4 linked regions of the Alligator mississippiensis genome follow. The protein of the gene in region 1 interacts with the protein of each later gene in a pairwise test. Links are inferred from orthologs where the notes say so. Each region holds a gene or a part of one and is shown in the gene's direction. Other genes may lie near its edges.

Region 1 (6,852 bases):
TGGGTGGCTCTCCTCCAGCTTGCATTTCTCTGAGCCTCCAGATGTGCTGCAGATGCTGGAGACACAGGCTTTTCCCTGCATTAAGGGGAACCTACTGTGGCTTAAGGTGGCACCAGCTGGAGCCTAAGGAGCTAGCCCTCTCTCATGCCTCCTTACACATGGGGGAAAAGCTTCAGCACTGGAGTCCAGAGACACTGTTAGACCCTAAGGGACATGGAGCTGCTCAGGAGAGGCTCTGAGCTGTTTGGCTCTGTGTTCTTGAGTCCTCTGAAGTCTCTTACAAGGTGTCCCTGCTTCTCATTCATCTCACAGGGCCTATCAAAGATAACAGACAGCCCAGCTTTTAGCCCAGTAGAGCTGTATCTAGGTGACATGATACAGATCTCAGCTGGCACCTTGCCCGCTGTGCAGCTGGGCAAGGTGAGCGGCCAAGTGGGGATGCTGGCTACGTCCCCAGAGGTCTAAAGGATGGGGGAGGTTCCTAGTACTTCCCCCAAGCACGCTGCCTGTGTTCAGTTGCTCTTGTGAGCCTGCGTTCTGGGGCTCAAAAGTGAGCAGAGGCTCTGCTTGGAGTAGATGCATTCATTTCTTTGGAGGAATCCAGCTCACGTCCCAGTGACACTCACTTTCCACCTTCTCCAGTTGCAAACTCAAGCCCTGGGAATCCGGTGATCTAACCCAGTTAACATGACAGCAGCCGCAGCTTCACAGCTTGAGCACGGGGCAGGCAAATGGGGACATGAAAGCTTTCAGTGCCGCCTCAAGGGAGTGACCCCCCTTCTCTGGGCCTCAAGCGCTTTCCTTGTGCTCCGGGCATTGACCTGCAAAAATCAGCTTGACAGGCGGGTTTGAACTGAATGCTCTCCCAGGCTTCAGCTCTCAGGTGCTGGGTGAATCACCAAGGGTTTCAGTGCCAGGTCTTAGCTCCTAGTCAGGAACTCAGGGTTTGCCTTCCCTTGCACTATTGAGCTTAGCAGGACTGTGTCAGCATTTGAACCTGGGATCCTTCAAAGCCTGGGCCTTTGCACCCTGTGTGCCGGGCTCCATAGCTGGGGTTGTAACAGGCCTGCAGGGAGGGAGACCTGGGTACAGAGTGAGAGCTGTGCTGTCCACCTGGGCCAAGCCAGTCATTGCAAGATCAGGATGTAAGCACCTGGCGGTCTCCAGGAGTGAAATCAATTCCACCAGCTCCTTGTGCGGTGCACTTCAGCCACCATGGGGGGAACGGGTGCTTGTTTCGAAGCACTGCTCCCGCTGGGTTGGTGTTTGAATGGGAGAAATGTGTTTTCCCATGAATGTAAAAAAACTTGCTTCTGCCTAGTTGCAGTTGGAGACAAAGGTGTCAGTGTCCCCAAGAAGGTCCTTTCTGTAACTTGTCACCCAGAGCAATTCAGGGGGGCAATGGGGGCGTGTTTATGTGTGTGTGTGTGTTTTTCAATTTCTACCAATTATGCTGTCAAATAAACATATTTTTGCTTTTTTTTTAACCCTGTCAATCTTGTGATGTGGAAGGGGAGGTTTCTAAGTCTCCTTCCTGCCTCCCCTGGGTAGGGGTACAGGAAGCCATGTGTGGGGGTGCCTGGGATGGGGGTGGTGCTGGTGCCACCAAGAATAGGAGTGTGGGTTGAGCCCCCACGTTCTCCCTGGAGCAGCATGACTGCTGTACATGGGGATGGCTGCAATGCCAGCTGTGTAGCTGAACCCCCCCCCCGATCAATAATGTGTTTGGTGGGGTAGGAGTGAAACTGTAACAGCAGGTAAGTTTTTAAAAATGCTCATGCTCCCTAGGCTGAGACCTTGGCTTAACTATAGGGGAATGCTAGATCTACGTCACCCAGAAATACCACTGCGTGCACTTCAGCCTTAAACACGTAAAGCCATCTGAAAGACGCAGGGGTGCCATCTCTACCACATCTCAGCTTCCAGTCTGCTGTAGGATTTCCAGGTACGCTGTGAAGAAGCATCCAAAATGCTTGGTGTGCTCTGCTGAGCCCAATAAGGGAAACCCTTGTAAGGAAGCCCTGGACTAACCATTAGCTAGCGACAGGAGGCAGCATCATGATAGTAGAACAACGCTGGCCTAGTCAAAGAGCAAAAAAATCAATGTTTCTCCCACTGGAGCCTAAAGTTCAGCTCAAATATCTGTGTTTAGGCATTTCAATAAAGTAGATAGGATTGAAGGATTGACAGAGGTGCTTCTAACACTAATTGGCACAGCGTGCTCCCCTTACACCCACACCGGATAACAGGGCAAAACGAACTCCAGACCCGATAGTGGCCTGTTGGTTCCCTTGTTATGAGCACGGTGAGGTGCATAAGCCCCATCAGTTCCTGGCACCTTTCAGCCCTGCCACCTCCCTGGTCACTCAGTTATGCTCCGTTTAGCTGCCGCGTGGCATTGCGTGGAGGCCCTGTACTCCGTGGCTGAGTGGGTGCAGGGGTCAGGGGTGCATTTCGTTCAGGCTTTCTACAGTCAGTGCAATCAAGCTACAGGAGAGGGCAGACCCTGCAGGGCAGGATGGCAAGGAGGTACGTGAAGGAAAGGCCAGTGTGGGCACCCTCCAGCTGCTGTCCGGTGCTGCGTGGATGCCAGCTTCCCATGGGGAAAAGCAATCAGGCTGATGAGGGCCCTGCAGAGGCTGGCACCAGGAGCCTCCATGCAGGCTGCTGTGAGCAGAGGGGTGGTGGGTCCCACTCACACCATGCTCCGGCTGCAGCGATGCCAGGACAGGCACCGGATGCCCCCACGAGAGAAGGAGACAGGCCGTGGGGGTTGCAGCTCCTGACCCCAAAGGGAGGAGCTATGAGTGTCCTGATAGGAGCCCTCAAGCCTTGCCTACACCTAGCACTGCCCCTGTACCCCTTCAGATGCACCTGGGCACCTGGCACTGCTCCTATTAACCCCTGGGATGCCCCCGAGCCACTGACACTGCCTCTATTAACCCTTAAGATGCTGCAGGACCGCTAGCATTGCTCCTATGACCCCTTGAAATGTCCCCAGTGCCCTATTAACCCTTGAGATGCCCCAGGGCTACTCTCACTGCCTCTATAAACCATTAAGATGCCCCAGGGACACTTGCACTGCCTCTATTAACCCTTAAGATGCCATAGGGCCACTGGTGCTGCCCCATAACCCCTTGACATATCCCCGGGATCCCTTGCACTGCCCCTATGACCCCTTGAGATGCCCCTAGGGTCCCTGGCATCTTAGAGACCCCAAATAGGGGCTATTCCACAGCCCCTATTAGCTCCTGAGGTGCCCCTGGGCCACTGGAATTGCCCCCATTAACCCTCAAGATGCTGCAGGACCACTGGCACTACCCCTATGACCTCTTGAGATGCCCCCGGGGCCCCTGGCACTGCCCCTATTAACCCCTGAGATGCCCCAGGACTACTGTCACTGACTCCATTAACCCTTAAGATGCCCCAGGGCCACTTGCTCTGCCCCTAGGACCCCCCACCCCGAGTGCTGCCAAGGGCACTGGGGGCATCTCAAGGGGTCATAAGGGCAGTGCTAGTGGTCCTGCAGCATCTTAAGGGTTAATAGAGGCAGTGCCAGTGGCTCTGGGGCATCCCAGGGGTTAAGTGCCTCTTAACCACTAGCACTGTCCCACGTTTCCTCCTCCTGCCCCCCCGCAGCAGATGCCTCAGGATCTGCCCCTATGAACCCCTGAGATGCCTCAGGACCACTGCCACCACTAGCCCCTGTTGAGAGGATCCCCACGCTCAGGTGCGGGGTCGCGGCCCCTTTAAGAAACATCTGCAGTCGCTGAGGGCTGAATGAAAATGGGGATGGCCAATGGGAGGCGAGCGTGGCATCCCAGCCAGCCAATGGGAGTAGGGCGCGGAGGTCTCTTCCGTGAGTCTGCTCCAGCTGGGGTGAGTGTGCGTGGGGGGCAGGACAGGGATCAGGACCAAGGGCAGGGGCTCCCCAAGCTCCCCCTTCCCCAGCCCTGCTGCACCTGCCCAGCTCCAGCCCCTGCCTGCCTGGCTTGCTGTGACCCAGGTCCCTGTCCAGCTGCCGTGCCCCCCCTTGACCCCCCAGACCGAGGCTGTCATGGAGGAGCTGGACGCGGTGCTGGCAGGGAGAGGATGGGCCGTGCAGGAGAGGTACGACTCTGCGCCAGAGCCCGCTCAGCCCGTGCGGCTGCGGAGGAACGCCTGCTACATCGTGCTGGCGCTCCTGTTCAATGACCAGGTGAGGCGGGCTCTGCGTTTGGGAAGGGGCAGAGGGTGCGTGTGCTGTGGGTGCCCCGCGTCCTGGCAGGGGGAGCCTGTGCAGAACAGAAAGCACGCAGCTCCCTCCTGCCCTCCGAGCATGGGCTGCTGCAAATCCACCCCCCGGACCTGCTGTGCCGCCTTTTTGTTGACGTCTGAAAAAAAGCGAGACTGAAGATGAGAGACTTTGCAGTCTGGGGAGCGGCCTCAGGCTGCGCGGCCCGCTGCAGATGCCTCCAGAAGAGCAGGGGGGGTCGGCTTACTCAAGGAAACCTCTCATAGCTCCCCATTCAGCAAGCTGATCCCTCGAATCTGGGCTAGAGATGGAGACAGTGAGGGGAAGGGCCTGACTTGGCCCCTTTCCAAATTTGTACTGGTCCCAGAATGCCAGTGACTCCTTGACCATGACTTGTGATTCTTCCTCCCTCCCAGAACGAGGTGCTGATGATGCAGGAAGCCAAGGCCGAGTGCCATGGGATGTGGTACCTGCCTGCTGGGAGGATGGAGCCCAACGAGACCATTGTGGAGGCCATGAGGAGGGAGGTGAAAGAGGAGACGGGGCTGGAGTGCGATCCCCTCACCCTTCTGGCAGTGGAGGAGAGGGGCCCTGCCTGGATCCGCTTTGTCTTCCTTGCTGAGCCGACAGGTGAGTCCCCTTGCCCTGCAGCCAGCGGGACGGGAGGGTTACAGTACTGTGCCAGCTGGAGGTGGTCAAGAAGCTGAGAGCAGCCTTGTGGGCAGCTGGCATAGCAGTGCCCACAAGGCTGGAAGAGCCAGGGGAAGCATGGAAGAAGGAGCAATATTGGTTTCAGAGCTGAACCAGACCTGAGGGCTTCTGGGCAAGGGAGGGCTCCGTCTTGGCTTTGGCCTTGGCCCTGGCATACGTAGCAGGGAGGATAGGGCAAGCCTTCAGCTATGCTAAAAATACAGGGCCCCGAGCGCAGCACCGTCAGAGCCTGTTCTTATCCCTTCATCCAGGTGGGAGCCTGAAGACGCTGCAGGAAGCTGACGCTGAGTCTCTACAAGCCCGGTGGTGGGATCGCGAGTCTCCCACCCTGCCCTTGCGTGCGCCGGACATCCTACCCCTTCTGGACCTGGCTGCACGGTACCGAACCCGCCCATCCCATCCACCCACCTTGCCAGCAGAAATGCCCTGCACCCAGATCTGCCAGCGGCTCCTGGCAGCCTTCACCAACAGCACCGGGGACTTGTGGGTGCTGATGAGCACAGCAGGGGCCCTGCACCTGCCGGTGATGGCCTGCAGCACAACCCCAACAGAAATGCGCCGGGGCCTGCGGGCGTCAGCAGCCCGGCTGCTCTGCGAGTGCGTATTGCTGGGCCCAGTGACTGTGACAGCCCAGGGGGTCCTGGGCCTGCAGCACCTGGGCAAGGAGGCAGGGAAGGCTGATGGCGTCTGCTTCAACGTGCTGCTGACGGTGGGGCACAGTGACCAGAGCACCCAGGATACTCCACCGGAGCTGCGTGACCAGAGCTTCCAGTGGTGGCGGGTGAAGGAGGGACCTCTCAGGAGCAAGATTTTGCAGCGCCTCAGCTCTGTGGCTGTTGTTGCTCTCTGCAGCTGATGACAAGGGTGAGCTGTGCTTGGGAAAGCCTCCCAGCATGAACCTCCGATCCTCCGGTTGTTGCTGCTGGGGAGCCTGGGATCCAGGCCCATGCATCAAATTGGGGGCAGAGCTGGGATAGAGCGCAGGGGCTCCTGCTGCTCTGGCAGGAGGGTGAACCCTGTTGGGAGGCCAGGGGTGACTGGTGCCAGTAGAAAGCCCAGCAGGAGCCTGGACTAAGGGCCGTGTGATGGCCCCATCCATGAGGTGGGGGCTGACCCTACCCCGCTGGGCTGAGCTGGTGTTTGAACGCTGCCTTTCCTTTCTCCCCCAGGTTTGGCTGAAGCTCAGAGCCCGCAGCATGCAGTGAGCCCCGCACGGCTCACCTGGAAAGAAAGACATCTGGGCCACCGCAGCAGGGAGGACCCGTGGCTTTCCCGTGGGGCACGTCCTCACCAGTCACAGCCCGCAAAACCTTCCCTGCCCCGTGCCAGAAGGAGTGGGTGCTTCTCGTGTCTGGCCTAGAGGGAGCAGGGGCTGCCATCTGCCTGTGCCACCCTCGAGGGGCTGAACCTGAAGCGATCATGCCGGAGGACTGTGTGCTTCTCTAGACCTGGCTCTGGGGTTTCAAGAGCTGCCCCAAGCATCTGTGTCTTGGCTAGAGTGTGGGAATAAAAAGGAGCACTTGGGAAAGTTTAGAGGTTAGTCTTACTGCTGGCTGGCTTGGGGAAACCCTCCCCCAGCAAATGGTTTCCAGCTGGCTGGTTTCAGGGAGACCACACTCTTCCCCACCCCAAGGCTTGGGGCTGGCTGGCATGGGAGCCCAACACCCCTGCAAGCTTGTGGCCAGCTGTCTTGGACAGATTATGGTCCAGGTGCTGGTATTGGAGGGGCTTTCTGGCACAAAATTGCATTGTGCAGGGCCCGTACTTGCCATCAGCTCTAGCAGGCTTCACCAACAGAGCTGGGGACTTTTAGGAGCTCGTGAGCACTGGTGGGGAATTCACCAGGAGGGTTTCAGCCCATCCCAATCCCAAGGTTTGTGGCTAGCTGGCTGGCTGGGGGAGGGGAG
Region 2 (7,401 bases), on another chromosome or scaffold:
AGGAGATTGCAAAGATTGTAAAAGTTCTCCTATGTAGAAATGAAAATAAATATTTCACAGGAGAGCTGCAGGTGTGGTAAAGTCTCCTGTTTGGAACAGTTCATTTTGTGTAGATTAGGCTCAGAGAAAAGTTGGAAAAATCTTTTTACCTCAAAGTTGTCTGGTAGCAAGCAGGATGTAGAATCATATTTCCTTCTGGTTATGATGTTTCATATTTCACAGAAGACTGGAACGATGGAATGCTCTTCTGGGCAGGCATGTCTTTTGTGGAGACCTACCTCTGCGCTCTGTTAGAGTGCAAATTAGCTTGAACAAGGGCAGGAGCAGGGTCTCAGGTTTCAGATGGTAAATTTTGCTTCCTTATTGAAAAATGATGAAATGTTCATTTTAAAAAAGCAGCTAAAATTTGGTATCTTCCATGTGTCAGGTATCCAGGTTGTAGTCATAATGGTCTAGAATAAAAAGGAATTCCATTTGCCTCTAGACCAATACAGCTACAACCTGGATACCTGCCTTACAGCACATACAGGCAGCAGTGAAAACTTTCCCCAGCGACATGCCTTCACTCTGATCTAGAGTATGATCCCTTTAAAAGTCTGTGAAAAAGATGACATTTAATAATGATTACCTTCCTTCCTCAATGACATGTTTCTAGAAAGTGGTATGAGACCACCACCACTATGTACACAGACCTCCAAATTACCCTCAAGATAGACTTGAATCAGTGACCAGAAATGTCACATTGAGTCACACTGCTAAAGACTTGATCTAGCCAATTATTCCCCCCATCCATTCTCCAATAAATTTTCTCCCTCCTTTTACAATTAAAAAAAAAAAGAATATTCATCACAATACATAACTCAGCAATATTCAAAATACTTAGGTCAGGCAGATGTATCAGAAAATTAACTAAGTTTTTCTCCAAAGCAAAAACTTGAGGGGACATCTTCCAGTCTTTAAAACAACAAACTTTGTGTCCGTTTTCTTAAACATAAAATTCTAGTTACAATAGTAGCCATTTAAATATCTAAGTTTGAATTGTGCCTCATTAACCTTAAACTTACTGCAGCTAATATGCCAAAGTAACATTAGCTATTTACAGACAACTTATAACGATATTTAGGGTGGCTACTACATTCCTATGCAACACATGCCCATTCCGAGAAAACTTATGAAAATTATTTGCTCTCCTCCTACATGGTACAAGAACAAATTGAAATGCACTTTGACCTATCAGATTCCTAATTAAACAAGGATTGTTTTTCTTTAATTCCTTTTATTTTATAATCTACGTTTTAGAAGTTGAGAAAACACAAGCATTTATAAAAACCTTCATACATTTTCATGTTCTATTTGAGTTTTCTTGTGCTCATCTATCAGTTTTAAAACCTCTCTTTATATCTTTTTTATTCTAGTTACTGGTGATAACAAGAACTTTAACATGGAGGGATAGCTGCACTTAACGAGCTCCTTCCTATGCTGTTAGTCATAGTTTGACAGGCTCCAGCCCTACTCACTGCAATGCCAGCATCTACATGGCCAGCCTGCAGACAAACCAGTCAGCACCACACAACTGGAAGGAGCTTCACTGGTTGGTCTGGCAAAAAGCCCAGAAGCGAAGCCAGGGGGAGAGAAAGGTGGGAGCACTGACAATGGAGCTGGACACTCTCCTCAAGGCCAGAAGGGACTCAGCATGTCCCTCTCCCCATGGCCGAAAGGACCAGGATGCATGCCACATAGCCAGCAGGGAGCCGGTAACTCTCCCTGGGGCTAAAGTCCCCAGAATAAGTCTGGAAGCCCAGACTGCTCAGGCAGCACCAGGGATTCAAACAGGTGCCAGTTTGATTGCTGCAGCTGGTGGGCGAAGCAGCCCAGACCTGATAGAGTTTTCTGGCACCCGTGACAACCCCCACAGGAATATGCAGGTCAGCTGAGGCTGGGATAAAACCTGGCATAAGACACCCCCACCCCCGGCACCACAAATCCTGGTGGAGCATTTGCGGAATCAGAGGGCCCCAGCAGGGGAGCGGCAGAACCATGAGTGGCGTGCAGGTGTGGAGGGACGTGCCTTGCGGTATTACAGTACCTGGTCAGGTAGAACTCGGACCAGAAAGCATGCCCAGAAAGGGGCATCACTGACTTAAGAATGTGTGGGAAAAGGGTGTGCTGGGCACCGAGACACCCACACACCAAAGAAAAGTGCTCTGCAGGGGGGGGCATCAGTGCCCTGTCCACCACACCATCTGAGCGCTATTTTCGTTGAATTATTGTTAAATTGTGATTTTTGCAACCTTACAGGGCCACAGCCAGACCCCCTGCAGCGGTCATCATCACCAGGCCTCAGCGGAGGAAGAGAAAGCCCCGTCACCAGATCTGAGTGTCATCCAGTATGATCCTAAACACGCAAGCAGAAAGGGAGTGGGTGTAGGGGAGGAGCCCCACAGATGTGCCAGCAGAGTTGCCCTGGGTCCTACAGAAACCACTGAACACCACCTCTGGAGGTAAAACCCAGCATAATGAGTTGTGGCAGGAGAACAGACCCAGGTGTGACATAGCCCAGGAGACGGGGCACGCACATTGGCTGGTGTAGTAGTCATGAGCCTGTCACACAGTAATTGCAGTTAGACCCTGAACATACAATCCAGTCTGTAAAACCAGTTGCTTTTGTTTATCTATGGAGCATCCCAAACTGTTAATCTTCTGTAAATGTACCATCGCTTGTTTTTTTGGTTGTTGTAATCAACTCCCATCTGTAGATGCCTTTTGTAATGCTTTGTATAAATATTAAATATTTAAGCATTACCTTCACTTAGGTCAATAATATTGACTCCTCTTGACAAACACAACACATCAAACTATTAAGTATTGAATAGCAGTAAAAATATCCACAAAAATCTAGACATATCTTCACATTTATTTTCCACAATTGGTAACAGCAAATAGCAAGGGAAATTTAGGTTAGATATTAGGAAAAACTTTCAGACTAGGAGGGTAGTAAAGAGGTGGTGGAATCTCTCTCTCCAGAGGTTTTTAAGATCTGGCTAGATAAAGCTTTGGCTAGGATGATCTAGTTGGGGCTGGCCCTGCTTTGAGCAGGTGGTTTGACTCAATGTGACCTCCCGACCCTCATGTTCATGGATTCTACGATTCCATCGATTCTACTCGATTGCAATGGGGTCCATCCTGCTTTAATTTAAAAGGTGACAGGACCAACAAAGAAATGCAAAACTCTATAACTCTTGGTTCAGAGACAAGACCTTTTATTTGACCAACTAAGACATTGCAAAAAAAAATAAGATAAAATAAAAATCTTTTTCTGCAAGCTTTCGGGCTCACACATCCTCCCTTGGGCTCAGGGAAAATTAAAGATGGTAAGAAGTCCTCACAGGTAGGAAATAAACTTCATTTTTTGCACAGAGGAAGCTGAAGATGGAATGGTCTTTAATTTCCCGAGCCCGAGGAAGGGTGTGCGCACCCGAAAGCTTGCAGAAATATATATATACTTTTTGCGATGTCTTAGCTGGTGTACTCAAAGGTATCAAATCCGAACCACGAGTTCTAGTTTTGCATTTTTGTCTCAGACCAACGCGGCTGCTGAATACCTCCCTGAACCACCAAAGCACACTGCTGGGGATTTTTCCCAAAAGACCTTTCCATCTACTGCCTCAAAAGAGGCCCGGGTGACCAAACTTAAGAGGACTCGATTTGTAGCTGCGTCCTCTCGCTTCCTGTGACCGTTTCGCACGTCCCCCCAAAACGCTCCCGGTGAAAGCGGGCAGAGGCACGTTATGTCGGCGTGGGCCTGGCGCTAGGGGGTGAGAGCTCAGTGCTGCAGTTTCCCGGAGCGCCCCGCGAGGGCCCAGCCTGGCGGCAGGAGCCGGATCACGACTGAGACGCATCGTCCTGCGGACGCGGGCGGCTATGACCCCGGAGCGCGGCGGGCCGGGCCGGGCCGGGCCGCTCCCCCCGCGCAGCCCGAGCCCCGCCATTGACGCGCTCCAGGAAGGCGTCGCCGGGCCCTATTGCTCGTCCCCGGGAGCCCGAGAGGAGGCCGCTGAGGGCGGGTAGCGCCGCGCTTCATCACTCCGGTCGGGAAGGTACCGGGCGGGCGGGGCGGGGCGGGGCAGGGCGCGGCGCTGACTCGCGGCTGAGGGGGAGGCCGGGCTGCGCTTAGCAACAGAAAAGCCCTTCCCCCCTGCCCAGGGGAGACGCCATGCTGGCTGCCCGCCTGTCGCGGTGGCTCGCGGGCCTGCGGCGCAGCAGTAAGAGCCGGGGGCGCGCGGGAGTGGGGGATGGGCCTTGCGGGGGGGGCTGCAACTGCTCAGGGCCTCTGCGCACGGCCCCGGGAGAGGGCCAGGGGGAGGGGCCGGGAGAGCCCATTCTGCGGCGCGGGGGGCGAGGGCGAGTGGCGTTGTCCTCCATGCAACATGCAAAGCAAACGGCTCCCCTGGCCGCGCCGCGTGGTCTGCGCCAGCGGGGCGGGGCGAGCGGCTCGAACGGCTCGCGCGCGAAAAAGCTGCTGTCCCGCGCTCACTGCCCGCCATGCCGTGCTCGCAACCAGCGCCCGCCGCGTCCCCCAGCAAGCGGCCCCGGGCCGCGGGCCCCGAGGAGGCCGCCATGCGCCTGCGTTTCGCCAAGCTGTCCGAGAACGCGTCCGCCCCGTCCCGCGGCTCGGCCCGCGCCGCCGGCTACGACCTGTACAGGTAAGGGAAGGGCGGGGGGGTCCTCCCGCAGGCCCAGGCCGCCCCCCAGTGAACCCCCCTCTCGTGAGACGCCCTGCCCTGCCCTCTTCCCTCCAGTGAAAGTGAATGAGGTGTCTCATCACCTCCCCCCTCCAGTGAAGGATCCCCCTCCCCCTCCCCCTGTGCTGGCAGGATGAGGCTGCGAGCAGCTACAGGGAACTGAGCTCTATCACACCGTCTCCCTACAGCCCGGATTGGGTTTCTTGTGCAGGAAGGAGCACAACAGCAGATATTAAGAATAAATCAGCACAAGTGACCATGTTTTTCACTTCATTGGCATGCATGCACACACAATAGCTGGGCTCGAGGCTCTGCGTTGGCACGCAGTGGCGCTTGCCTCTCAGTTTCCCCCACAACTGAGCAGCTGTCACGGCGCCCTGGGTGATGCACCCCCCCCCATTCGTTTTATAATAGTTGGAGTCTGAGAGACGTCAAAATCGGCAGTGCCAGCATCAGGATTTGCCATGTGTGAGGTCCCTACTACATGTTACCTAAGTGGCGCAATTCACTGGTGAACCGTGCAGTAAATTAGGCCACGTGTGCCAAGTAAGACCGGTTGCAAGTACAAAGTAGTTATCTCTCAATTCACTGGTGAATTGGGCCATAAATGTAGACCAGCCACAGGTGCAGAGTAATTATCACAGGACAAAAATGACAAAGCACCTATAAAAAGAGCCATCTAGCTCTAAAGTTAGTGCTAGAAAATGTGTAACAAAACCAGAGCTGGTTTCTATGCAGTTTCAATTTGAACATGTAGCAGGGCCTTTATTAGTATCTACTTTCAATTTTGCAGAAGTGTAGACAGCCCTTAAAGTAATATCATAGTATTAACATAACTCAAGGGTGTCAGAGATGCAACCAAATCATCTGGAGCCTGGTGTTGGCCCTGGAGGGTCTCAGAGTGACCCATGGCACCTGCTCCAGCTCCCATCCCAGAGTAGCCACCATGTGCAGCACAGCCTGGAAGTAGTCACATGCCGTTGTGGGGCCACGCTAGACAGGGTGCCACACAGCACAGCCCCTCCAGCAGCCGGAGCAGAACTGCGCTGCACACTATACCCGCTCCAGATCCAGAATGCAGGGCTGCTCCAGTCCAGCCCCACATCACTCATCTGGCCTACAGGGCCAAATGAATTTGATATTCCAGTATAACTAATAGTAGTCTGAGTAGTCTCTTCCTTTTCTCCCCCTTTGTGTTTCAGTGACTTCATTTCTTTCTATATTTAGTACCCCTCTTCTCCAAGCCCAGTCAGCATTTGAGGAAGCAGTCTGTAGCCTACAAAAAAATTATGCTTCTGAGTGACCTGCATCGTTTCCTGCCTAACTTTAGACTGACATGATTAACACTCTTTCTTGATACTGAAGTAGTTGTTCTTTCCCCATCTTTACCTGCTTTAATTATCGATTTCTGTGGGGGTGGTCATTGACTTACAAAGATGATATTTAAAACATTCTTGGTTGTTAACATGTGTCTGTTTTAATTTAGTGCCTATGACTATGTGATTCCTTCTATGGAAAAGGCTGTAGTTAAAACTGATATTCAAATTTCCCTCCCATCTGGATGTTATGGCAGAGTAGGTAAGTTAAACTGAAGAAAAGCGTGCAATGGTTATTCCTGTAGCTTGCCACAGGACCTAGTCCATGCAACGAAATTACATTAATTTTAATGTCTGTTTCTTTATTAATTTTAAATAGATGCAACTTTTAAATCTATTTGAATGGCTACTTAGTTTCCAGAAAAGCTTTAATTAACCAACTTGATGCAATTACTATGCCAAAAACCCCTTTCTGCAATTTTCCTCTTCAGACTACATCCCTGTAAGCCCAGGAAAAGAATTAGCAGGTTTCTTGCGAGCTGTGGTATCTCGTGTTGAAAAATCTTGAAGATTTGGTTGATACCACTTGACAAAACAAAATATTTTGACAATAAGAGCAGATAATTAATTTGAGCTGTTGGAGAACATGCATATGAAGTTGTTTTGATTTAAGTGTAGATTTAAGTAGTAGAATCACATGTATTTCAACAGCGGATAAGCACTTACAAAATACCTACCTGACTTCTTGTAAACTGTTATACCTTGGGTATTAATACAATACTATGGATTCCAGGGAGTTCTTGTGCAACCTGTCCATAAACAAATCTGAAGAGTTAATACCTAGTTTAACTACATGCTACATTATGCAACTACAGAGAAGTCATAGTTGCACTTCTGTGGAGAGAAGTCATTTCTGGACAAATCTATTTAGGGACCTAACTGTGTTTCATAACTAACATTCAGCTGAAACTTTAAGCCTGATTATGTCAGTAGCACACCTAGTACCAGTTGCACATCCCAGACTCACCTGGAGAAAAGGGATTCTTATCTGTAGACTCTACCTGCTAATCTAGTTTATTAAAGAGAAATGTCTCTTAGAAAATTGACTGATTAGCTGTTTCAGAATCATGCACAGAAAGTAGGGCCAATTTACTTAATTGGTTGCACATAATGTAACCTTTTTTCAAACATTTATCAAGCCATTTCTGGATATTGTATTAACTTTAACACAAAGCTAGCCTGGTTAAATTAATTGTTTTGAGACTGTTGAATGTCATACTATAACATACAGTAGCTTATTCCCATTATGGTGTGCAGATTAAGTCTGGTTGCAGTTTATAAAC
Region 3 (7,638 bases), on another chromosome or scaffold:
CCATCTCTCTCATTTTAAGCCTGGGTTTAGGGCAGGGTCACTCCCCACCAGCCCAGTAGTCAGAATAATGATCTGTACCCTGCTGGAACAGTGATTTGTTGCAACCTCAACATAACCTATTAGAGTGCCACTGATAAAGAGGACCGGAGAGTATAAAGGAAAGGATCTCTCACGTGGTGTGTATGCCTGCACATGCATGTGTGCATGCACTGGGAAGGAAGGAGTGCAGGCACATAGTCAAGAGACTTGTGTTTCAGAAGAGAATCCATGGGCAAGAGGACAGGAAGAGGACCTTGGAGTCCTTAAAAGACACTGCCCCAAATCCCCCAAAACACTGGCTCAGTGAGGAAACAGGCAGGGAAAGGTGTGCAGGCCTTTTTCTCTGGAGGTGCATGTCATGTGTACTACTTAAAGCAGAAAGCGCTTACTTTAGAATCCTTTTGGCAAAGTACCCGTGTGTAAATGTGCTTCAAGAAGCAAGTATTCCCTGAGAGGTGTAAGCAGTAAAGCAGAGTGCCCACAAGGTTGGAGGTCTGGGAAGTTACTGTGGTGTCTAGGGGTGAGCATGACCCTAGAAGCCTAGCACAGCTGGACCCCAGGGTCTCATCTCTCAAGCAGGGGTGCTTGAGGGAGAACCTGCCTCCTCCCAAAGCCCATGTAGTGACCTAAAGCCAAGCAAAGTGATGGGACTCTGGACACTTGAACGCACGCAGGCCCAAGCACAGCAGCCTGGCAAGTGTCCAGTGTGGGGGGCATCACCAGGGCTTTGACTGCAGGACACAGGCATCACAAGCCCATTGCTAAGAACCCCTCCCATCCCATGGGTGAAACTGGCCCCGTCTCCTTCAAACCTCCCAGTGCTTCCAAAATCCAGGCAGCTGCAATCCTGAGCAAGAAACAACAGGAAGAGCCTTGCATCTTTGCTAGCTTCTCTATGCAAAGGCCACCTGGACATGGGTCTTGTTAAACCGCATGAATCCTAGCCACTCCCTGTCTCTGCTCGCTGCCTGGCTTTTGTCACGCAAAGGAAAGCTGCCTCCTAGCTGGACACGCTGCACATGGGATGTACACATCTCAGATAATGTTTAGCACGCCCCATTAAGCAAATGCTCTGGGAGTACGTTTCGCCACCTGGCTTTGCTGCAGAAGTCACGTGGGAGAGGGATGCCTCCCTAGGCTGCAGAGCTGGTGCGTGATGAAGGCAGATCTGACGTGGTTTCCTGCCCAGCTGCTGCCGGTTGGCTTTCAGGGGCACAGCTAGAAGGAGCAAACCCATTTGGAAAGGAAAGAATGAGATTTGTGTTGACGTCAGCGCAAATCTTTTGTGCTCCAGCACTACTGAAGGCAGAGAGAGACATCGTGACACAAATGAAAATGTGCCCAGAGTGATACACCCACGTATGTAACAGCTCGTGTTGACACACTCAGAGTCACCTGCACAGAGATAGTGACACGCACAGAGACAGGCAGGCACAAAGATGCAGAAGGACATGGGCATCCACAAACACAAACAGAGGCAGGTGCAAAACCTGCTGACTTCAGCGGAGCTCCTTGTGTGTGTGAAGTTAGATGTCCTCTAAGTGTTTACAGGTCAAAAATTTTTATCAGGCTTGGATCTCTGTGTCGAACTGCTATTGTCTGCCTGCCTAATCAGCCTGTCTAATGCTGCATGGCCATGCTTCCAGCAGCAGGATGAGGCTCCACAGTGACTGTCCTTGTTGACTATAAAATGCCTGGCTATTGCTGAAGGCCAAGGGTGCAGAGTGTTATGCTGCCGCTTTTGGGCATATAGGTCTCATCTTAACAGAAACCATTTGTGTCCCTGCCTGGGCCTTGCACACTTCTGGAGACGTCCCGGCACCTCCTGGGCTGCCCCAGGCCTGTGTGGCGGAGCTGGGATCAGAACGTGCCTTTCCAGATGCTCTGTTTTGTGACTAATGGCTGAAAGCCCCCACTCCCTCCTCTGTGGGGGGAGGCTGCTGTCATGGGGTGACAACAGAGGCCCAGTTCTGCTCCCACTGGAGACCATAGCCGAACAACCTGGAAGGAGCAGGTTTTATGCGCATGTAGACATGCATGTTTATCGATCCTGCTCCGTGCAGGGGGTGGACTTAGCAGGCCCCTTCGAGGCCCGATTCTCTAGGATACTATGAGTAATGGCTGCCCGTACATAATGCATGAGGACTGATCTCTGTGATGGCTCTGATCTTTTCTCAGAAAGGAGAGTGGGAATCCCCTCATGAGCATTACACTCAGGAGTGCTTCCCCTTGCTCTAATTACCCTTTCACATAAATGTCACAACAGAAATCGGGAATTGCATTGATGTATCCGCCTGCCTCCGTAACCTTTTGTCTTCCTTTCCAATCCCACTTCTTTAAGAAGATGGAACAGCCTGTATAATATGGCAGCACTTGTCTGTGCTGTTACTGGGTGCAGACTGTGGAAATGATCAGTACTTGGTTACATTATTTCAGTGTTATTATAGTAGGTTGTTAAGTGGAGTTCATATACATATATTACAATATGCATAACATGTACCATCATTTATGCGGCTAAGAGAAATGCTACAAATATCAGATGTGTCACAATAGGCAGCAATTACCTTTGCACAACCTTCTGTAACAATTGCCCCTATAAGCTAATAAGTACAATGCAGTGACAACACTTTTCAGTGTTGCTAGTGTGGCCCTTGCTGCCAATTCATGACTAGAGAGAGACACAGGCTTTCCTCTAGAAAGGGGCTGCCCTGTCCTCCTCAGCATCTGAAAGTGAGCATCTGCTCACGACAGCTTGTGCTATATATGTCTACGTGCAGCTGTGTGTGTAGCCATCTCTGTGCACATGAGGCTGAGTGTTGGCATGTGTGTGTCAACACGAGTTATTACATGCATGTATGCATCACTCTGGGCACATCTTCATTTGTGTTATGATGTCTCTGTCTTCACTATCACTGAAGCACTAAAGATTTGGGCTGATGTCAACTCAAATCTTATATGGATGTTATTCATATTTAGGAGATGAATAACATCATAATATAGAAATTATTCATATTCATGAGATGTATATATAACAGGGCCCTTAGGGTGATATTTTGTAGGGACCTATCTCTCTCTCTCTCTCTCTCTCTATCTAGTAGGGACCAAAATATATATTTTGTAGGGACCTATCTATAGATATCTATATCTATCTTTCTATAGATATAGATATCTATAGATATATATATACGTACATATGTACATACATACATACAGACAGATAGATAGATAGATCTTATTAATATATATATATATATATATATATATATAGCAGGGACCTTAGGGTGATATCTTGCAGGGACCAAAATATATATATATATATACACACACAGACACACACATATACACATCTATATATATATATATATATATATATATATATATATATACACACACACATATATTTATCTATCTGTCTATAGACAAAAGATAGATATATCTATATATTCATGATATATATATATATAGATATATATAGATATATATCTCTCTATATATATATAGCAGGACCCTTAGGGAAATATTTTGTAGGGACTATGTAGCCGAGATAAAATTAGACATGCTTTCAAATGCAAGACATTCACATACACACACACCCACCCACACCCACACCCACACACATATGAATGTCTTGCATTTGAAAGCATCTAACTTTATCCCAGCTATGTAATTGGTCCCTACAAAATACCACCCTAAGGGCCCTGCTACACATTCAAATTAATGCTGGCTGGATACCAGCTATAGAGTTGTGACACATTTTCAAGCGCTCATTTTATAGCTGGTTGGCTCTTTTAATAGTCGGAGAATCATTTTTATCCAGCGAGAAGTACTTTGCCCGTGTGGCCGGTCTAAACTGATTGCATGACTGACCGGTTCACCGCGTGACGGTTTCTTCGGGCTCGTGCTAGAATCCCCGCGGAGGTCGCATCTCGTCCACACCCCGTGCAAACCGTCCCGTGTAATGCGTCATCTCAACTGTGCGCAGAACGGGGGTCACCCCCGACACGACACACGCCTCACACCCGAACCCGCCGCGGCAGGCGAGCATGCGACCTTACCGAGCGCCTCACGTGCGGCCTGTCTCGGACCAGCGACCGGCCCTCAGAAATCCTCGCCTGGCCGGCTTATCGCGTGGCGACGATGTGGCCCCCTAAACGAGCCGTGTGACGGACCAGCGAACAGCGCGATGTATGTGACGTGGCGCAGGGCCCTCAGAAATCCTCACCTGTCCGGTTCGATGACTTGACACGCGCAGCTGCTCTAAATGTATTGCACGACTGACCAATGAATTATGCGATGTATGTAATGTCTACCAGGGGCCTTCAAAATCCTCGCGGCGCTGGTTCATTGTGTGGCAATGACTTGGCACGTGTGGCCTAAATGTACCGTGTGACGGAGTGAGCGATGTATGTAACGTGTACCAGTCCCTCAGAATCCCAACCCCCCCCCCCGCGCTTAGGCACCGCGCGCAATTCCCCGCTCGCTGCGAGGCGGAGGCCCCGCCCCCTCCCCTCCCTGCGTGCGGCGCAGCGCGGGGCCGGCACTTTCCCCCCGCTCCCTGGGGCGGGGCGGGGCGGGGCGTGCCCGCGCATGCGCAGTGCGGCGGCGGGGCGCTGCGGCAGTTGGTGCGGGGCCGTTTCCTGGGCGCGCGGCGGGAGGTGAGTGCGGCGCGCGGAGGGGCCGTTGCCGGGGGGACGCGCCAGCCTCGGGGGACGCTCCCATTGGCCGGCCCGGAGGGGTGGGGCGGTTAGGGAGTTGCCCCCCTCCCGCCGGCGGGGGCTGGGGGCGCTGCGCGCGCCCCTGAGGGGCAGTGACGTGGCCCCCCAGCCCCTCGCACCCCCTGGCTCCACATGTCGCCACGCGCTGAGGGGGCTCGCGATGCCCCTCGCCGTGACCCCTCGCGTTCCTAACGGTCGCCCCCGGCTGGCAAAACGTCCCAGCTTCGAGCACCTCGGCGGCGGTGGTCACCCCGGGGTGCCGCGAGCGCCCTCAGGCTTCGCCGCATCGACCCAGACGGGAATCGGCGGTGCTTCGCAGCCCCCCACACGGGAAGGCGGGTCCGACGCGCTCCGGCGATGCGCCCCCGTCGAGTCCGGCATCTGTCTTTCCCGCGTTGTGCAGTCTCCGTTTCGGACGGCAAAACCGGAGATCTTCCACATCGTGGGGGCGCCCGCCGAACGCGGCGCGGGCGCTTCCCGAGGGGTGCCGTGCGTCTTCTCAGTGGCGCGGGCACTTCCCGAGGGGTGCTACACGTCTCCTTGGTGACGCGGGTGCTTCCCGAGGGGTGCTACACGTCTCCTCAGCGGCACGGACCCTTCCCGAGGCGTGCCACACGTCTCCTCGGCGGCACGGGCACTTCCCGAGGGGTGCCACGCGTCTCCTCAGCGGCGCAGGCACTTCCCGAGGGGTGCCACGCGTCTCCTCAGCGGCACGGGCGCGTCCTGAGGGGTGCCACGCGTCTCCTCGGCGGCACGGGCGCTTCCTGAGGGGTGCCACGCGTCTCCTCAGCGGCACGGGCACTTCCTGAGGGGTGCCACGTGTCTCCTCAGCAGCGCGGGCGCTTCCCGAGGGGTGCCACATGTCTCCTCAGGATTCCAGCAAGGTGCTCGAGGGGTGGCTGCTCTGGCATCGTCCTCGGTCCGTTCAGGGATTTTACTTGTGGGATGGGATTGTATTTTTTTTGGAAGGCTAGACGTATATGATATATAATAAACGTATATAACACGCGCTCTGGGAAGCTTGCTTGAACGCGACGGGCTCCGAGCGGCTGCGTAATAACAGCCCCTTCTTGCCCAACACAACTGCGCCCTGCGTGAACTGCGAATTAGATCCGGTCGCTGATTAAAATACACTTTATTGCCCTGCGCACCTGTTAGCCCAGGGAGAAGGAGCGTGGTGTCGCCGTGACAGAGGCCCGATCCATCGGATGGTTATGCCTACGAGTCATTTCCGTGACGGCGGGTTTGCACAGTTCAGACTCTATGTTTTGATTTTCACGTCATCTGTTCTCTCTTCTCTCCCCCTTCCCTCCCTGGTTTGTATAATGTCACTGACAGCCAAATTTTTTCAATGCCATATTACATCTGCACTGGCAACTGTCAGGAAAACTGTCCTCATCTTCTGCTTGAGCAGTTTCGCTCTGGAAATCCGAGATACAATACCATCCAAGTGGAGCCTGTATCAATTTAACAGTCATATTTTGGAGTAGAATTACACTTTAAAACACTCTGTTGTAACTGGTCCTTAGGTCAAAAGAGCTGTCAGAAGTTTGCCAGTTTCATTGCAACCGTTGGAATTTATTCCAGCATAAATGTGGTGTCGTGACACACTGCAGCTTTTATTCTGTCCAGTTCCTTACAGGCTAATGGTATTGCCAAAAGCTTGGTGGAATAAAATACAATTTCTGAGACAGATAAAAGACAGATGTTATGAGATCAAGATATGCATTGTCTTCTGAAGTTTGAAAGTAGCAAGTGTACCCATATATTTGCTTCTGTCGCGTTACTATTCTAAACGCTTCCTGGGGTGTGGATGTGCAAAGACTCAATTTGAGCAGGAATTTGTCAGACAGATTTTCAGCTTTTAAGCAGCCTTTAAAAACATTTTAAAAAATGCTTAAAGGATCAGTGTTTTGTCAGTTGTAGCTCCAAATTTAGGTTCAACTCAAACTTAAGTTTTGCAGAAATAAGTGTTTGATAACCTAAAACCCCTAGAAATAACCATTAGACTTTTTAATGACAAACAAAAAGCCCTCAATTTTTTATTTTTTTTTTAAAGAAACCAGCCCCTTGTGTTTGCAACTTGAGCACCACATCGTTATCTGAAAGCAATGACAGCAAACTTCTTAGAAAATATATACAACCAGTTAATTTTCTTTGCCCAAGATGAGAGGGTTTTTTCTGCATCTCCATCTGGATCGGTATTCATTCATGGAGAAGGAAATAAAAACTGATTCAAATAGGACATTTAGCTTGACTCCAAGCCTCTTAAAGAAGCAAATAACTTTTGTTCCTTTCATACTCTTCACTTGCAGTCCAGCAACAGTTCACTTGCCTCATCTCAAGAAGGGAACATGCAGGTTATCTAGTTGTAAATCTGGGCAAGGAAAGATTCAAAGGATTGGTTATAAATCAGGCTTGCTGTGCTCTGGAGTGAACTGAGTTGGAATCTGCAACCTTTGAGTTCAACAAGAGTGACACGGCCCTGCACAGGAAGAGGTGCAGGGGAGAAAGGTTGCCTGCTGGCAGCTCCTCCCTGAAGACAGGTGCTAGAGACAAAGGTAGAATCAAATAGATGACCTGCACAAGGAGCTAAATTACCCGCTGGTTCTGCAGCCTGGGAGTTGGGGAGCATGGCAGGACCTGGCTAATTTGATAGCATGGCACCTACATGGACTTGGCCATTTAAAATCCATTCTGTTCCGACCCAAACTAACATTGCCCTTTGGTAGATGTTTGGCCTCGTAGGAAGGAAATTAGTTCTTGCAGTCTAGGTTTGGGTGCAAAGTTTCACATGCAACTCATTCCCCAGTCTTAAGGTTTTTCTTCACTGCCAAAAAGGTGGAGAAAACAGCAAAAACAGTCTCCCCGCGCCTGAAGAAGG
Region 4 (7,685 bases), on another chromosome or scaffold:
TTGGGGACCTATCAAATTCACAGGCCCCAGCAGCCAATTACACAGCTGTAACATAGCCAGGACCCCCGATTTCACAGCCGTATCGAGGCCGGGGCTGCCATTTGAAGGTGGAGCAAAGCCCCCACACTTCTGATTGGCTGAGGGGTGCTGCAAGTCCCACCCCCACTAGGCATTTATTGAAAGTCCTAGCTGGAGCTGCCTGGTTTGTTATTCAGTAATTATTACCCTCTTCAAGGGTCAGAGAGCGATAATTACTGAGTAAGCAAACAATGAACTCTTGGGGGGGCTTCCCTGCTCCCCCCGCCCCTTCTGGAGACAAAGAGATGGGAACTTTTCCTGCCTCTTTTCCCCCTCGCCCCGTTATGCTGCCTTTTTTTTTTTTTCCTCTCTGCTCCCTTCTCCCTCCTCCTGTCCTTCTAGGAGACGGCTTTTTGAGCATAGCCGGTTTCCTGCACTCTTTCACAGGGGAACCGGCTATTTCACAGGAGACTGCCAATTACACAATTTCTGTGAAACTGTGCATTTGGTAGGTCTCTGCAAATACTGTTTGTTCTCTAATGGGGTGGCAGGAAGGGGAGAAACCGCTTGGGCATTTCTCCACCCAAGCTGGGTGCTTTCTTTTTTTCAGTATGTATTACCATACCATTTCCTCCCATGAACTTCCCCACTGAAACTTCCCAATTCTTTGAAAATACTCTTCTTCTGAGGAAATGTGACTTCTCAAAACAACCCTTCCCAACCCCTCCCCAGTTTCCGTTGGAGCTCCCCGTTTTATGTGTCTTTTGCAGGGGACTGGTACATTTGCTAGGAGGGAAAAAAGCCTTAGTAAGCCAATAATGGATCATATTGTCAGATGGAGAAAACTATCCTGGCTCTGGCTTGGTATTCTTTGGTCAGAGCTGCCTTGGATAAGCCCCGCATTTAAGCCTGGGTTAGCAAATGTTATTGAATGCAACTTAAGTAATATTCAGTCAGTGGACAAGACTTCCTCTCAGACAATTGTGTAGACAGGGGCAGCATTGTATTTACTATGCAGCTGTACCAGGGCCCCATCCTACTCCTTTTCACATCTATGACAAACTTCCTCCAGATTTCCAGGGAAGCAGGAGAAGTAATGTAACCCATCACGTTAATGTCAAAAGGCCAAATCCTAAGATGCTGGAGCCCTCCTGCAATTTCCTGTTGGAATATTTTGTTTTACAGAGTCGGTGGCCAAATCCTACTCCCAATGAAGTGAGTTGCATTTTCTCAGCCTTGCTCAGAAGTTGGGTCCATGTGATCATTTCAAGGTCAAAATGCAGGTTTGTGGCTGTCATTACATTCTCTGTGTTAAGGCAAAGTCCTGAGCAACAGTACAGCAAGCCTTTCCCTGCCAACATGCTTTATACTTGACATGTTGGGGACCTTAAATTTCCATAGTTAATCCAATCCTTGACCTGTCTGCTTGTGATGATCAGGGCAAGGGCCAGTTAGAGACAGTGTTTCTGTGATAAAGATATCCCCTGGGACACTCGTTATCAGTCGGAGTGGAAGTTAGTCTTGCCCAAACTCCATCCCCTGATCTCTTCTTTTTAAGGGTCCTGAAGAACTAATCCTTTCAAGCAGCCCTACCACTGTAATGAAGAAGAATTCCTCATGTGAAAAATGCAGAAGTGGACCTTGGAAGTTATGGGAATGAGATAGTGGATTAGAGTGTCAATCTCAGGTTGGTTTTCGCCTACTCAGTTGGTGATGCATTTTGACAACTATTTGCAACAAGGTGAACTAAAGTTTTATACTTTCAGAAATAACCATGAGAAAAGAATTTAAGACAGAAGTGCCTTCCTGCTGCCCCATCCCTCCATGCAACAACAAAAAATTAACTGATTCTCGGTGTGCTGCCATTATATCACTGTGCCATGCTCGTGTGACTTTGAATCATTAAATGCTCATCCTTCTCCTGTGTCATCATCTTACATAAGCACCTGGACTACATCTTGGCTGAATCATTCCAGGAATTTGCTGTGCGGTCTACCTAACACATCTGTGTTACCTCAGGGGCGGTGATCTGGTAGTATAACTTGAAACTGCAGCAGATAGCATGTTAGGATACTGATTCAAGTTCTTTTTGTTGACTGTATGGGTGACTGGTGCCATTTTAGTCGGCAACCAGTCAGGAACTGGGGGGGGGGGGTCCCCCCACGGCCTATCTCACTGACGTGGCCAATTACACTAACCGGGAAGTGGTCATCTGGGTGCTCCCGCTCCCCAGCCAGCGTTTGCAGGGGGAGCACCCTGCCCATTGCCTAAAATGGGGAGCATGGCCTCTCAGGGGGTGCACATGCACCCCGTGCACCCCCTACTCATTGCCACTGGTTGACTATACGGCACACACAACCCACATTATGTTGCACTTCAGTGAAAGTTGATTAGATTCTGGATTTACCTTTATCCTGCTTCAGCTGAAAAATAAACAGTAAGTCAAAGGCACAACAGATAAAGTTACAGCATAGCTGGAAACCATGTACAGATACAAAAGGCTTACCTTTGAGCTTGATAGCTTGCTGCACAATAATGAAACATGCTAACAACAAGGGGTTGATGCCGTGTGTATTCATAACAGGTTATACTTGGATGCTTGTTGGATGCTTAAAATAAGTAATTGAACAGGATTTTTAATTAATCCTAATCAGAACTCCTTGCCACACATGCTTAGCAAGTCCTGAAGCTGCACCTGACACACATTTAGTGTACCCATAATTACATGAGCTAGAGATCTTGAATGGGATGTGAAAACATTGTAATTCCTACAGTTTCTTACATGTCATTCCATAACAGCAGCACTCCCAATAATAGCCCTGCACCTGTGATCTATCAGCACTCAGAGAGGAGGTACATAGCTCCTCTCCATGTTTTAGGGATGAATGCAAAACAGTCCATGTTTTACAGTGTCTAGGTGTGTGTGAAGCATCCTACACAACTAGCAGAAATACCTAATCCTTGCCTGAGGATATTGCAGTTCACCTGAAGACATCATGACTCCTGATGAACAGGGCCATTATTTCACCAACTATCTAATGAAAGATCCTGCACCTGACGCTGAAGCATCACACCCATTTATCGGAGTTCTGTCTGTGCTCCTGTTTGCAATCCTGTGTAGGAGGCTGCCTGGTGCTAATTTTGCCTGGTGTCTAGATGAAGCCGGTGAGTGAGTCAGTCTTATGATGATACACTTATTATAAGACGCATCTAAACATTTCCAACTATAGCAGCTCCACCTGTAGCATGCTGTGGCCGGAGGAGGGAGTTTGTTATGCTGATGTTCTGTCATATCCCTGCTCCAAGCATGTCTACATGACACTGGTGTCAGCACCTCACCTACTCCAAAGAAATCTACATCACAGCTTCTACAAGTGCATCTGCATTTGCTGGTGAACCTGCTACCACCAGGCAAGTACCTTCCCTCCCAGGCCCATCAGTCTGGGGCTGCTGATACCCACAAATCCTGGCAGGCATCAATGCGCTAGCACCAGGCCCAGAGGCCTTGGCATTTCCTAGCCTCGCATCATCTTAGTCAAACTGGGCTGAGACGTGGGTTGCGGGGCACTCCCTGTGTGTGCCTGCCTTGGGGGGCACTCAGTTGTTCAAGAGCTCACATGTACTGGCCACCTGCGCAGCACTGCCAGGTCTTAAATATGAAATGATCATATTGGAAGCTCAAAATCATCATATTTGCTGGCAAACTTGTACAGTAAAAAATATGCAAATAAGTCACCTGTAGTTTATGTTGCTCACTGCAAGTTGACAGTGAGTGAGGACAACTGGGACATCAAACATGAGGCATTTTTTTATTTGGAGGCAAGCAGTCAGGCATGAGAAAGCGCTGACCGCAAACCCAAAAGTTGGTTAAGACTTCCTGAGAGACGTGGGTTTTGCATGTCCTGTCAATTAGATGCTTCAAAAATTATCAACTGCAACAATTCAGAAGTCTTGGTTCAGAGATGATGCCTTTTATTAGACCAACTAAGAGACTGCAAACAAGTGGTCTTGTTCTGCAAGCTTTGGGGCGCACACGCCCTTCGTCAGGCTCAGGGAAAATTAAAGATGGTAACAAGTCCCCATTGGTAGGAAATAAACTCCATTTTTGCACAAAGGGCACTTAAGACGGAGGCCTGTCCCTCTGGGTCCATGAGAGTCTCTCTGTTGTGCAGATCAGGCGGGGTAATCTTTCATTTTCCCTGCGCCCCGTAAAGGCCGCGAGCCCGAAAGCTTGCAGAAAGCGACAGGTTTGTTGTGATTTCGTAGTTGGTCTAATAAAAGGTATCCTGTCTGAACCAAAACTTCTAGATCTGTGCATTTCTTTTGTCTCACACCAACACGGCTACTAAACTCAAAACTCCTCGTACGTTTTGAACACTTTTATTCTTGTAAAGGGCTGAAACGGCGCGCACGGGATAGTATCGCGCACACGCACCCCAAACGCGTGGGAAGAAGCGCTCAGCACGCCCGCGCATGCGTAGTAATGATCCCACCATTGGCCCGACTCGCGCAGGCGCGATGTGTGTTCTCCCCTCCCAACTGCCGGGACTGCGGAACGCAATCGCGCTTGCGTCACGACGCTACTGTCCGGGTAGAAGCCGGCGCCCCCACTGCGCATGCGCGCCGTGCCCTCCCCGCCTGCCCGGGGCCGGGCCTGCTGAGGAGGCGGAGGCGGACGATGGAGGCGCGCGGGGGCGGGCGGCCGCGCTCCCGGGACAGCCGCATCAGCAGCCGCCGTCGCCCCCGCCCCCATCTCCACCGGGGCGGGCCCGCGGGCCTTTGAGGGGCTCGGTGAGTGCGGGGCGGCGCGGCCGCGAAAGTTGCCTAAGGCCCGGCGGTGCGCGGGGTGCGGGCTCCGGCTGCCCCGCCCGGGCCCGCCGTGTTGCGGGCGCAGCGGCGTGAAGCGGCCGGAGCGGGAGCGCTGCAGTGCGGCGGCAGGACCCGGGTCAGTCGCTTGTGCGCGTGCACACGTGCGCCCCTCGCGAAGAAGCGCGGGCCGACTTGGGGGTGCTCGGGCTGGGGCTGGTGCTGCTCCGAGCAGGGGGGTGGCCCCCATGACCTCTTCGCCCCCCTCCCGGCCTCATCTTCTGTGCTCTTTTGTTTCTTTTGTTTGGAGCTAACTTTTTTCTGAAGGCAGCACTGAGTCGAGTCTTGTTAACGGCGGCGGCGGCAGGAGTTTGGTGATGTAAGACGGTTAGGTGACTCCACCCCGAGGATGGTTTTGATGGAGGCTGGTGACAGCCATTCTTGTGGATGCTTCAGGTGTAATGGTGTATGAATGGGAGCTGCGTTACAAAAGTGCTTGGTGCTTTGTTAAGAAAGGTGTCTCATCTGGCAAACTTGGGGTCTCATCTCTGAAGTTAATGAGTTTTAAAATGCGAGGGGGGAGGGAGGAAGCTGCCATGTTTCTCCTTGTGCTTCAAAAATTGAAGAAACTGACTTGTAGGTAACTTTAATATTTGGGTTTCAGCAATCTTAAAATCTTGTTTGTGAATATGGATCTATGGACAAGACTGATCCCTAAACTAGAGATCTGTTGGAAAAAGAATTGGATCCCAAAATCCTTGTGTCCTGTACTGATCTCCCAAGAGTCTTAAAAGAAGATAGTTTGGAAGTAGCATGTAATCTTAACTGGTAGACAAGGATCTTTGGGTAGATGTGACCTTTTTATTATTATTATTAAACCAACTAAATAGTTGGAAACTGTTCTTTGCAAGCTTTTGGGTACAGACACCCTTCTTCAGGCAGAGGGAGTGTGGGTTGCAGTTGTCTGAGGATTTCCTGTATCGGTTCCAGGGAGGGATGGTATGTCATGTAACTAATGGTGTGTGCTTCGTAGGGACTTCCATATTGTACTGCAGAACAGCAGCAGATTCCCCCTATGCCTGAAGAAGGATGTTTGTGCCCAAGGGCTTGCAAAGAATAATTTTCCAACTACTCAGTTGGTCTAATGAAAGATATCACATCTACCCAAAGAAGCTTGTCTGCGTGTGTCTGTAGACCAGCACAGCTATAACCAACACCCCTAATGTAATCTGAACAGTCATTTATACAGTCTGAGGTGGGAAACATTGTGTGGTTGAAGACTGTGGGCTCCCTATAGGGCTCCTTCCACCTTGATTTGTAGTTTTAAGCTAGCGTTCTCCACTGATGCTGCATTTGGCAGGTACATATCCGAGAGACTCTTTTTAGTAACATCTACCTTATTTATTACCATGCTGGTACTTGATAGAGAATCCAGGGGAAGAGAGAGACAAAAGAAAATAACTTACTGGTAATAGCAAGTTGTCAGTTTTCTTCCATCTCATCTTCCTGCCCCTGCGTGGCATTTTAAATCTGTCTTTCCCGAAAGGCTGTTTGAGAAGTTCTCACAGACATCTGCCTGTAGAGGCATAACAGGTGTCTATGCAGGTGTTTGAGAGCAAACTTGTAGGAGGGAAAACATTTGCCTTTTTGCTGCAGCTGCAGGGTAGAGGAGTGAGCAGGATATAAATGACTAAAGACAAGCTATTGGTGAGTTTCCTTAAAAATCCTGAAACAGTTTGTAGGAGGTTTTTTTTAGATCAGACTCTTCTTTAGATAAAAACAAATATTCATTTTGCTTCAAGAGACCTCCTTGAGGATCAAGTGTTTGTTGTAAATAAAGTTGGAATTTCTTAATTGGTCCTTTATCTGCAATGTTGACTTTATTGCCTTGTACACACAGTGCTGCAAGTTGGTCCCAGTTTCTTCAGGCTTCAGTTTTAGTGACTGAATATTGAATACAGAACGATCTTTGGTGGAGGGAGGATTGCACTAGATTTAAAACAAACAAAGACCCGGTTTTTGAGAGTTCACTTTTACATTGGGGCTTTGCCATCTAAGATAGTTTAACTTTTTTAAAACTCCAGTTGTAAGCTCTGCTCTTTGTAATAATAACCTGTGACAAAAAATGATTTGTCAAGTCTTCACTTACTATGGCACCTTTAGAAATTTAAACATTTATCTGTTGCTCAAGTGCTTTATACCCGTTTTTAATAAATCATAGATCATTCAAAATTTAGGGGGGCTGGGGTGATACAGGAGCTAAGGTGCAGGATTGACAGTCCAGAGGTCACAAGTTCAGGGCCATAACAGAAGTGCTCATGGCACGGCTATGTCAGATTCCAACAAATCTGTGAATTCTGCTAAATATCTTGTCATAAGGACATGAAAAAGGAAGGATTCAAAATATGTATCAAGACTGCTGCCTGGAGTGTGTGTCTTCATGTTGACTGACTAATAAGTTTACAGTGTAAAATTATGGGGAAACTTGTATAAAATTTGATACTTGGGAATATGTTCCAACAGTCATAAGGACTGGTATATCCAAAACAGTGAAATATATTAAACTGTTGAAACTGTGTCGTTTATTGGTAAGCCGGTAGTAGTTTCTACCATTTGAGAAGCTTGCATATTTGGGCAGGTGGAGGAGGGAGGGGGAGAGTCATTTTGAGGACCAACTTCACTTTGAAAATAAATTTCCTTCCCAAAATATTTGAGATCACAACCTTATATGCTCATGAGACGTAAAGGCACTTCGAAGGGATCAGTGAGTTACCTAGTTGGGTGATGAATTTGCAAAATATTCACAGCCTGGAAAACATTAGTGTGCTTTTGGATATCTCATGTTTGACTATGTGAAATTG

Evidence for each region.
Region 2: the proteins of NUDT18 (region 1) and DUT interact in binary tests that used the Homo sapiens proteins (3 or more experiments, as listed by UniProt). The two-hybrid records come from large-scale screens. The link is inferred for Alligator mississippiensis from reciprocal best matches to the Homo sapiens genes NUDT18 and DUT.
Region 3: the proteins of NUDT18 (region 1) and NT5C2 interact in binary tests that used the Homo sapiens proteins (3 or more experiments, as listed by UniProt). The two-hybrid records come from large-scale screens. The link is inferred for Alligator mississippiensis from reciprocal best matches to the Homo sapiens genes NUDT18 and NT5C2.
Region 4: the proteins of NUDT18 (region 1) and NADK interact in a two-hybrid assay, tested with the Homo sapiens proteins (2 studies listed by BioGRID and IntAct). The two-hybrid records come from large-scale screens. The link is inferred for Alligator mississippiensis from reciprocal best matches to the Homo sapiens genes NUDT18 and NADK.

The regions. Positions count from the first base shown.
Region 1 is NC_081830.1:18,805,503-18,812,354, reverse strand, and holds NUDT18 (8-oxo-dGDP phosphatase NUDT18), read left to right. Parts: upstream 1-3,839; 5' UTR 3,840-4,057; coding exon 4,058-4,198; intron 4,199-4,650; coding exon 4,651-4,864; intron 4,865-5,196; coding exon 5,197-5,801; 3' UTR 5,802-5,809; intron 5,810-6,114; 3' UTR 6,115-6,478; downstream 6,479-6,852. UniProt on the Homo sapiens protein: Mediates the hydrolysis of oxidized nucleoside diphosphate derivatives. Hydrolyzes 8-oxo-7,8-dihydroguanine (8-oxo-Gua)-containing deoxyribo- and ribonucleoside diphosphates to the monophosphates. Hydrolyzes 8-oxo-dGDP and 8-oxo-GDP with the same efficiencies.
Region 2 is NC_081834.1:20,411,597-20,418,997, reverse strand, and holds the start of DUT (deoxyuridine 5'-triphosphate nucleotidohydrolase, mitochondrial), read left to right. Parts: upstream 1-4,382; 5' UTR 4,383-4,542; coding exon 4,543-4,703; intron 4,704-6,228; coding exon 6,229-6,320; intron 6,321-7,401. UniProt on the Homo sapiens protein: Catalyzes the cleavage of 2'-deoxyuridine 5'-triphosphate (dUTP) into 2'-deoxyuridine 5'-monophosphate (dUMP) and inorganic pyrophosphate and through its action efficiently prevents uracil misincorporation into DNA and at the same time provides dUMP, the substrate for de novo thymidylate biosynthesis.
Region 3 is NC_081829.1:98,822,407-98,830,044, forward strand, and holds the start of NT5C2 (cytosolic purine 5'-nucleotidase), read left to right. Parts: upstream 1-4,618; 5' UTR 4,619-4,626; coding exon 4,627-4,694; intron 4,695-7,638. UniProt on the Homo sapiens protein: Broad specificity cytosolic 5'-nucleotidase that catalyzes the dephosphorylation of 6-hydroxypurine nucleoside 5'-monophosphates.
Region 4 is NC_081836.1:12,892,360-12,900,044, reverse strand, and holds the start of NADK (NAD kinase), read left to right. Parts: upstream 1-4,681; 5' UTR 4,682-4,809; intron 4,810-4,842; exon of another isoform or gene 4,843-4,963; intron 4,964-7,685.